2 linked regions of the Lytechinus pictus genome follow. The protein of the gene in region 1 purifies or fractionates together with the protein of each later gene. This does not show direct contact. Links are inferred from orthologs where the notes say so. Each region holds a gene or a part of one and is shown in the gene's direction. Other genes may lie near its edges.

Region 1 (3,934 bases):
ATGTAGATCCTCCTATTGGCAATGCGACCAAGATCTGTGATGTCACACACGTACAACTCCCTCATTACTTTAGTTTTATTTCACTTATATTCTCACTTTTATAGAGTCTATCACCAGGTGAGGTGTTCTCTTTATGAGAGGACAAGTACAGAGGTTTCACAACATTATATCATTGATGAATCGTTTGTCATATTATTAGAATGAGCAAAAAGAGATGTTTTGGGGTATATTTTTAGCATCCAAAAGGGGAGAGTTGTTCATCAATGACATCATAGATCTTGGTCGCATTGCCAATGGGAGGATCTCCATAGCATTAGTGATCTTGACATTCAAATGCTCATAACTCTTCTATTGCTTGTCCTATTTTACTCAAACTTTTGTTGATCTTATTCTTTGATTTTTCTGCTTTCACAAAAGCTAACTTGCTCCAAGAGTTTCATTCTCCTTTAAGGCCGCAAGTAAAGGACATTTCGCACCAGAAAAAAAATTGACAAGCAAAAAAAAGGTCTTCAACCACAAATAAAGGACATTTCGCACCATAATAAATTTGAAAAGCAAAAAAAAAAGTCTTCACTTTCAAAGGGGGGGGGGTACACTTCTGTTTTAACGGCATTTTTACATTACAAATTTTAATTGTGCCTCTCAATGTGCCCCCCCCCCCCCACTAAACTGGAAATACGTATTTCTAGTTCAGTGCCCCCCCCCCCTCCGATCCGCCAGTGCATGGACCGAGGTATGGTGACCGTGTCCAAGCATAACGGACTCTTTTATTTTGTGACGGCACAGACAGACGAGCATGCAGTTATTATTATAACGTCGTGTGATAGGCCTACCAAATCCAATGAAATGACGTATACTGCATGAGTGATCCCAAAAATGAATGATTCAAGTGACTTTCCCAATATTCGCGTTGGACAGGCCTATACGATACCCCTTCTATATAATAAAAATGTAATTCACCGGCACTGTCCATTATAATTTGAAATTTATGGAATATATAGAGGAAACTGCTCGTATATTTTTGAAAAAAAAATCATAATTATAATGTATACAGTATGGGACAGTATGACAGATTCAACTTGTCTGATAACGTTATATCAATGTTTTGTATCGGAATTTTCCATTTTGGAACGTCATTATAGTCGCTTAAAAAGTTTTTTTTTTAAGTTTAAAAATGGAATCATAGTAATTCCGGGTACCTTCGAAAATAAAGCTTATAGAAATATAGAGAAACAAATGTGGAGGAGAATGAGATTCTAAAAATGACTGATCGAGAGCACTGGCCCCCTCGCTCGGGTTTGACTCCGACAAATTGTTTAAACTTTTGAACAATTAGTAAACAAAATATTGTGTAAAGTTGTGATTGTTTTTGAATAGTTAAAAAACTTTAAACAAAAAAATCATTTGTATGCTTCAACGAACATAATAGTGCATGCACTGGACCTCACGAAAATTGTTGAAATGGGTCTAGGTTGAGAACTATCGGTTGTACTATGGTCCGAGTTTTGCTTAGGGCGCGATGTTAATCTTTCAATGGAAAGGTAAAGGGTAAAAGGCACAATTATTACTCGGAATATGGTAATTTCTTGAAGTTAATGATATTGAAAAAGACAAATTCATTGATATCACAAATTTTTAGTGACAATTTATAACCGTTTACTGCAAACCCCGCAAACTCGAGCAAAATCATTGAGCAAACAAGATCATGATATCAGTGACGTCACAGGCCAACTTCCGGTGTTACTGTAACATCGAGAAAAGAAAACGCCGGGTGGGTTAATCAATTATTAAAAATGTTTTCGGCTGTTTCCAAAGTAGGGGTAGTTGCTCCATTTGTGTCCGCAACAGCTCAGAATGTAGGATCTCAGCTTAGACAAGCAGTCGTCACAGCTCCAACATTTTTTCACAAATTCACATTACCTGAGAAGGAAGACAGACTTACGTCTGAGAAGCTCGGCGCTTTGCTACCGAAGAGTCATGGTACACAGGCTACGTGTGGAGTCCAAGGTAATGTGCATTTTAGGGTAGTGTAACTAGTGAGAGCAAATGAGTAATATGAAAGTGATCTGGACTCTAAATCTAGTGACTTTTATTAAATTTCATGTATCAAACACAATCATTTTGGTTAATTATCAAATGTCCACCATAAATAATACTTGACTAGCCTTGCCGATGGCCACGGTCGGCTAGCATGGGCATGGCTAGAAATATCTGACTATAGACATATTATAGTGACCATAATTTGCGCACATTTTAAAAATTATCATGAAGTTGATATTCAATCAAAAATTTCTCACAGCTCATGCAAAATTAATCAAAATCATGAATACCAAACGGAAGGCAAGATCCTAAAAGTCAAATTCGCTTGACGGGATTATAATTATAAAGTAGGTCAAGGGTTTTGCTGGTATCGCTATCGACTAGTGCGCGCTCGGCTGAAAAAGTGTCATAAATAAGTGTGACCTTAATTTGCGCACAATCGTTTTGCAAGGCTTTAGAAAAGAAATCAAGCAGACAAAGGTAATATAATTGTATCAGATGGCAGTTAAAATGCCATAAATTCGGTTGGTATCACATTTTACTTATTTGGAGACTTCCGCTTGCAAACTGGCGAATTCTTGATGCTTGTCGAGAAGTTCGGATTTTCTCGGAGCGGAGGCATAAGGTAAAAAAATTTGCCGATGTTTTGCCAATATTTTCATTAATAGAGACCGTACCTTCAAGAAAATTACCATACTGGGCAGGCCTCTACAAAAAAAATTTTCATCACTTGCCCAACAGGGCAAGTGATGAAAATATTTGCTTGCCCGATAGAAAAAACTGCTTGCCCAATTTGTTTTATTATTATCTTTCATTGTTTTTTTTACGACGGTACTATTATTTATGAAGATCATATAAATAAAAACAATTGAGAATCATGTACAGTAAAGAACACACATTTATAATTATAAGTATATTTTCAGCAAAGTAGGCCTTAGTCATTACGTTTATTTTGAAGAAAAAAAAACTTTTGCTATAGCACTAGTAGATCTAAATGGGCGTTAAATGTTTTAAAAAAAATTGTTTTGATTTAGTTGGAAACTATTAAGAAAATGAAGAATATTCAGCTCTTTATTGATTCTGGAAAAGATCGTTTTATGATGTAAAAAAAAAAAAAAAGGCCTTCACCAACTGGACTCTGGAGTGGCTAAAATTTCACATTTTGCATCTTTAAATCCATGCCATTTATTTTCCATATTTCCTTGAAATTGTGTTGATTTAGATGGAAACTATCAAGAAAATTAAGAATATTCACCTCTCTCTTGTCTTTTCATCATCGTATTATGATGTTACACTCGGTCAATATTTTTTTATATTGTGGTCCCACATGTAGACTTTCATGGTGTTGCAACATTATACTTGGTCAACACCATGAAAGTCTACATGTGGGACAACAGTAAGAAAAAACATTTACCGAGCGTAACATCATCAAAATCAGAGTCAAGAAAGAGCTTAATATTCTTCATTTCTTCGGTTGTTTCCAACTAGATCAAAACAATCTAAAGGTAATATGAAAAATAGACGTCCATTTCATGTATTTAAAGATTAAAAATGTGAAACTTTAGCCACTTTCGCCTTTCTTTTTTTTTTTTTTGTGGAGGGGGGTTGCATCGGCAAATTGCGCAAGATAGTAGCGCATGCGCACATAGAACGTATGATGAGATGGCATGATTCTTCGAACGAGGTACCTGGCGATAAATTATCTGTATTTGGCGCTGATTTTACATCAGTTTCCACTGTTTTTTTACTGGTTTGACAATATATGAGAGATAGTTGTGATTATCACTGACATTTTATTATTTTATTTTCAAAACATTCACTTGCCCGATCAGGCAATTGACTTTGAGAAATGCTTGTCCGCCAGTCATTTTCACTTGCCCCGGGCAAGCGGGTT
Region 2 (3,934 bases), on another chromosome or scaffold:
CCTTCAAAATTTACTCAATACATTGCCATTGAAAGACATGAATCCTTTCCTGTTTGCCCTGTCAAGCACTTAATTAAACTTGGTCAAGGAATCAATAACCCCTTGAAAATAGGATTCATGTTTTTCTATTATAAAGGTACCATAACGTGATTTTTTTCACCTAATAAAATACGATTTGAATAACTACAACTTCTCCCAATTAACATGATTAATAACGCAAATCTTCTTCCTTGGGTCGACAAAAGTCTTCTTTTCTTACTTATGAAGGAAAATTCAAAGGTTAAAGAAGTTTTAATGAAAAAACAAAATAATTTAAGTAAATAAATACATTTGTAAATAAAATTTGACAGCATAATTCGAAAATCATGGCGAAGATAATGAAAAGGTTAAAAGGAAGCCTGCTGATTAGCAAAAAGTCTGATCATCAAATTTCTAATTTCTGCCATTTTGGCGCAAGCCTCTTTTTGAACCCCCGACCAAAACGTCCCGTGTTCGCTCAAGCATGAACAATTTTTTTTAAATGGCATTTCAAAGATAAGATTTCAGAGCATCTATTAACATCTAAATATAGATATCATAATTTGAAACAATTTTTTTATAGACTTTTCAAAACTGTCCCGTTTTTTTATACGCACTGTATGGGGGTGCACATTTTCGCCAAACAGTCTGGCAAACTGACACTAACATTGGTGTGAAAAAGCACAGTTACTTAAAGAGATCGATGCATACTGCGGACTGAAAATAGTATACAAATTCACAAAAAACAAAATGATGAAAATTTCATCAAAATCTGATAATAATAAATAGCAAAGTTTTGGCGTGTGTGCCAGGTCTATGTAATACATGAAATATCGAGACATTATTTATCCTATTAATCCTCACCCCCATCGAGCCTTTGTCGAACGCAGTATGGATCCGCCCCTGAATAAAAATTCACTAAAGGCGGACGAAAATCCCCCCCCCCCCCCATTGCGATCGACATTGCCAGAGCCGCTTGCGCGCGCTGCCGAGGTTGTCTGAATTACACATAATAGTCAATAGAACCAAATCCGCCGAGGAACCAAATCTGCAAACTTCAAGCCGCGTCAAACCCGGCGGATATGGTTCCGATTAAAAACGATATCGAATCCGCCGCTACACCGGCCGGTTGAGGTCACTGATCTCAGTGGTTGACTTGAGGTAGGCGAATTAACGCGAACGAAGTTGGAAACTGAACTCTGTCCCAAGATGCGATCACAGGTAAAATATTTTGAAAATTATTTATTCATTCAAACTATTGACTCTACCTTTTCAAACAATTTATATTTGTTAATTGATATGAGTTTGTACGGGGTCACGATCACCTCGGGCTTCGCGGGCTGGCTCAGTCATACTCATAGGACTCAGCTCCGGTCCCTCGCCATGCCCATGGGCATGGCCCATGCCACGATGGGCGGATGAAGACGCCAGGGCCAGCGCCACTGCCACTGCGAGTCCTGTGTCCGCGGCCGACCTAGGTCCTAGCCACTCACACGTATTGCGAGGTTAGTATTAGTATACTATACTGGGTCCTAGCCTTGACTAGCCAGGCGGCTTCTAGAGAGTAAAAATCATTTACTAACGTAAGGTCACTCTCATTACGTTAGTAAATGATTTTTACTCTCTAGAAGTGACCTTACGTTAGTAAATGATTTTTACTCTCTAGAAGCCGCCTGGCTAGCCTTGACTGAGAAGTTGAAGACTCCATGATGATATTTTTTAATATTTTGACATATACTTCTTCATCATCAGATCATGAAGCCTTGAACCGCCTGCCATATATGTATAAGAGACATTTGTAAACAAAGATGGATTTCCCTAAGACCCTAGGAAGTCCATCTTTTAAAGATAAAAATCACGTAGGCCTAAATGTTTTTTATTTTATTTATTTTTACATCTTCATACGCCTAATGCGATTAGCGATGTTACAAAATGCCGTTATGAAGAACAATTTATAGATAAAAATTATTATTTAACAAATACTAAAATTTTAAGACGTGATTATGAATAATTATTATTATCAATTATAATTCCTTGGTTAAGCAGACAACATTCAACACCAGCGCTCAACACGAACTGCCGGAAATACATCATATTTTCCTAGGTCAATCTCAACACCAGTATCATTTCAAGTACGGTGTTGACTGTTGTGGCTGGTGTTGGTGTTGTCATACACCAGATTTCAACACCGTACTTGCAGAGCTACCAAGTCTCACGCATTGTGAGCGAGACTCACGCATCCAGGGTCCGTCTCACGCATGGCACCCTTTTTTCTCATGCATCGGGACCCGACAGAATAAAAAAGGAGAAAAAGTAGCATTATTCGCTAAATTATACGCATTGGCCGACCGCCTTCGCACGCCGTCGCGTCTACCCCGGCACGCGAGACGAATCGAGAGTGCAGTCAGTGCACAGCTAGTCCGTGATACGATGAATCGCTTGCGTGCATCGCATGGTATTGTAGTATGGATCGATATCATGATGAAGCCCATATCTTGCGCGCGCGCGCAGAGACGCCGAGTCATGAAAATCTCACGCATAACATTTTTTTGAACTTGGCATCTCTGTACTTGAAATCACCCAATGAACAAGGACCGGTTCTGTAATATTCATAATACTCACTGTGTGGGGAAATGAGGTTGGCAATGTTTGGCTTATTTTCTCTTGTTCTTGGGGGAAAAAGGAAAACTTTCTTGCAATTTTACTTTCCACCAATAGACGGCATACACAAAAAGTTTTTTTATCTTTCATTTTAATCATAGGTCCTATCTCTGTATAAGTTGCTGCAGAGAACAAGTCAAAGCACTTTTCTTGGAGATTTTAAAGCTCTTGAAGGTAATTATTTCTTATTTTCAAAACAGGGTAGTGACACTATAGACCAGGGGCATCGATCCGTTTTTCAGATGGGGGGGGGGGGGGGAAATCATGAGTCACAAATCAACATTACAAAGGCGCTCGATCGCACAAAACAAACAAACTCACACATATTATACATATAAATATTGAACATTCTGAGCAGTGTTTGTGATCTTGAACAAGATGTGTATGTAACTAAATAATTACTGCGAGAGCAAAGTGCAAGCATTATTTTTTTTTACGTTCTGGGCCTGAAAAGGGACATTTTAAGGACAGTTTTCAGTTACCCATGAAAACAAAACATAATTCAATAATCAAATAATGCGAATGCTAATCGCGAGCAGAAAATTTTGTCATTCCGCGTAAAAACAGGAAATTCTAGGCACTTTTTGTAATCATGCACAAAATCGGTATATAAATAAATAATTTTTATTGATGCGAGCACGAAGTGTAAGCGAGAATACATTGACAGTTAGACCTGAAAATCGGACACTCTGTTAATGTTTTGGAAATCATGAAAAGGATGGGTAATTGGGTATCTTCTAAATACATTTCTTTTATTATGAAAGTCAATGTGAGTGTGAAGCGCGAGCTGCAAAAAAATATTTTCTATTGTGAAAAAGGGTCAATTTATGCACTATTGCAAGCACTGTGTAGGGAAATTGAGAAGTGGATATGGATCACAATGAATAAATGGTGCGAGCACAAGGCGCGAGCTGATATATTATTAGTGTTACATGTATTTTGATTTAGAACCGGGATATAAAGACATGTCATCATATATGAAAATGATGACCATCCTCCTATTCCTCTTCCTAAGCTCAAGATGAAACTTGTTGATATTCCAATCTGAAAAAGGAATAATTTGATTATTAGGAATTCGTGGATATATTATTGTCTTATTTATTAATCTTTAAGCCTAATGAGAGCACAAAATTTGTTGATATTAAGGTCGAAAACTGGACATTTTAAGCACTATTATAACGATGAATAGCATGCATGGGTTAATACATTTTTAACAATCGATGCGAGCGCAAATCTCGAGCTGAAATTTTTGATC

What was found.
Region 2: the proteins of cytochrome b-c1 complex subunit Rieske, mitochondrial-like (region 1) and complex III assembly factor LYRM7-like purify together in Homo sapiens (co-immunoprecipitation; 5 studies listed by BioGRID and IntAct, with this or other methods). This does not show direct contact. The link is inferred for Lytechinus pictus from reciprocal best matches to the Homo sapiens genes UQCRFS1 and LYRM7.

The regions. Positions count from the first base shown.
Region 1 is NC_087246.1:57,301,612-57,305,545, reverse strand, and holds the start of cytochrome b-c1 complex subunit Rieske, mitochondrial-like, read left to right. Parts: upstream 1-1,446; 5' UTR 1,447-1,793; coding exon 1,794-2,007; intron 2,008-3,934.
Region 2 is NC_087247.1:67,193,824-67,197,757, reverse strand, and holds the start of complex III assembly factor LYRM7-like, read left to right. Parts: upstream 1-1,008; 5' UTR 1,009-1,227; coding exon 1,228-1,239; intron 1,240-2,780; coding exon 2,781-2,853; intron 2,854-3,934.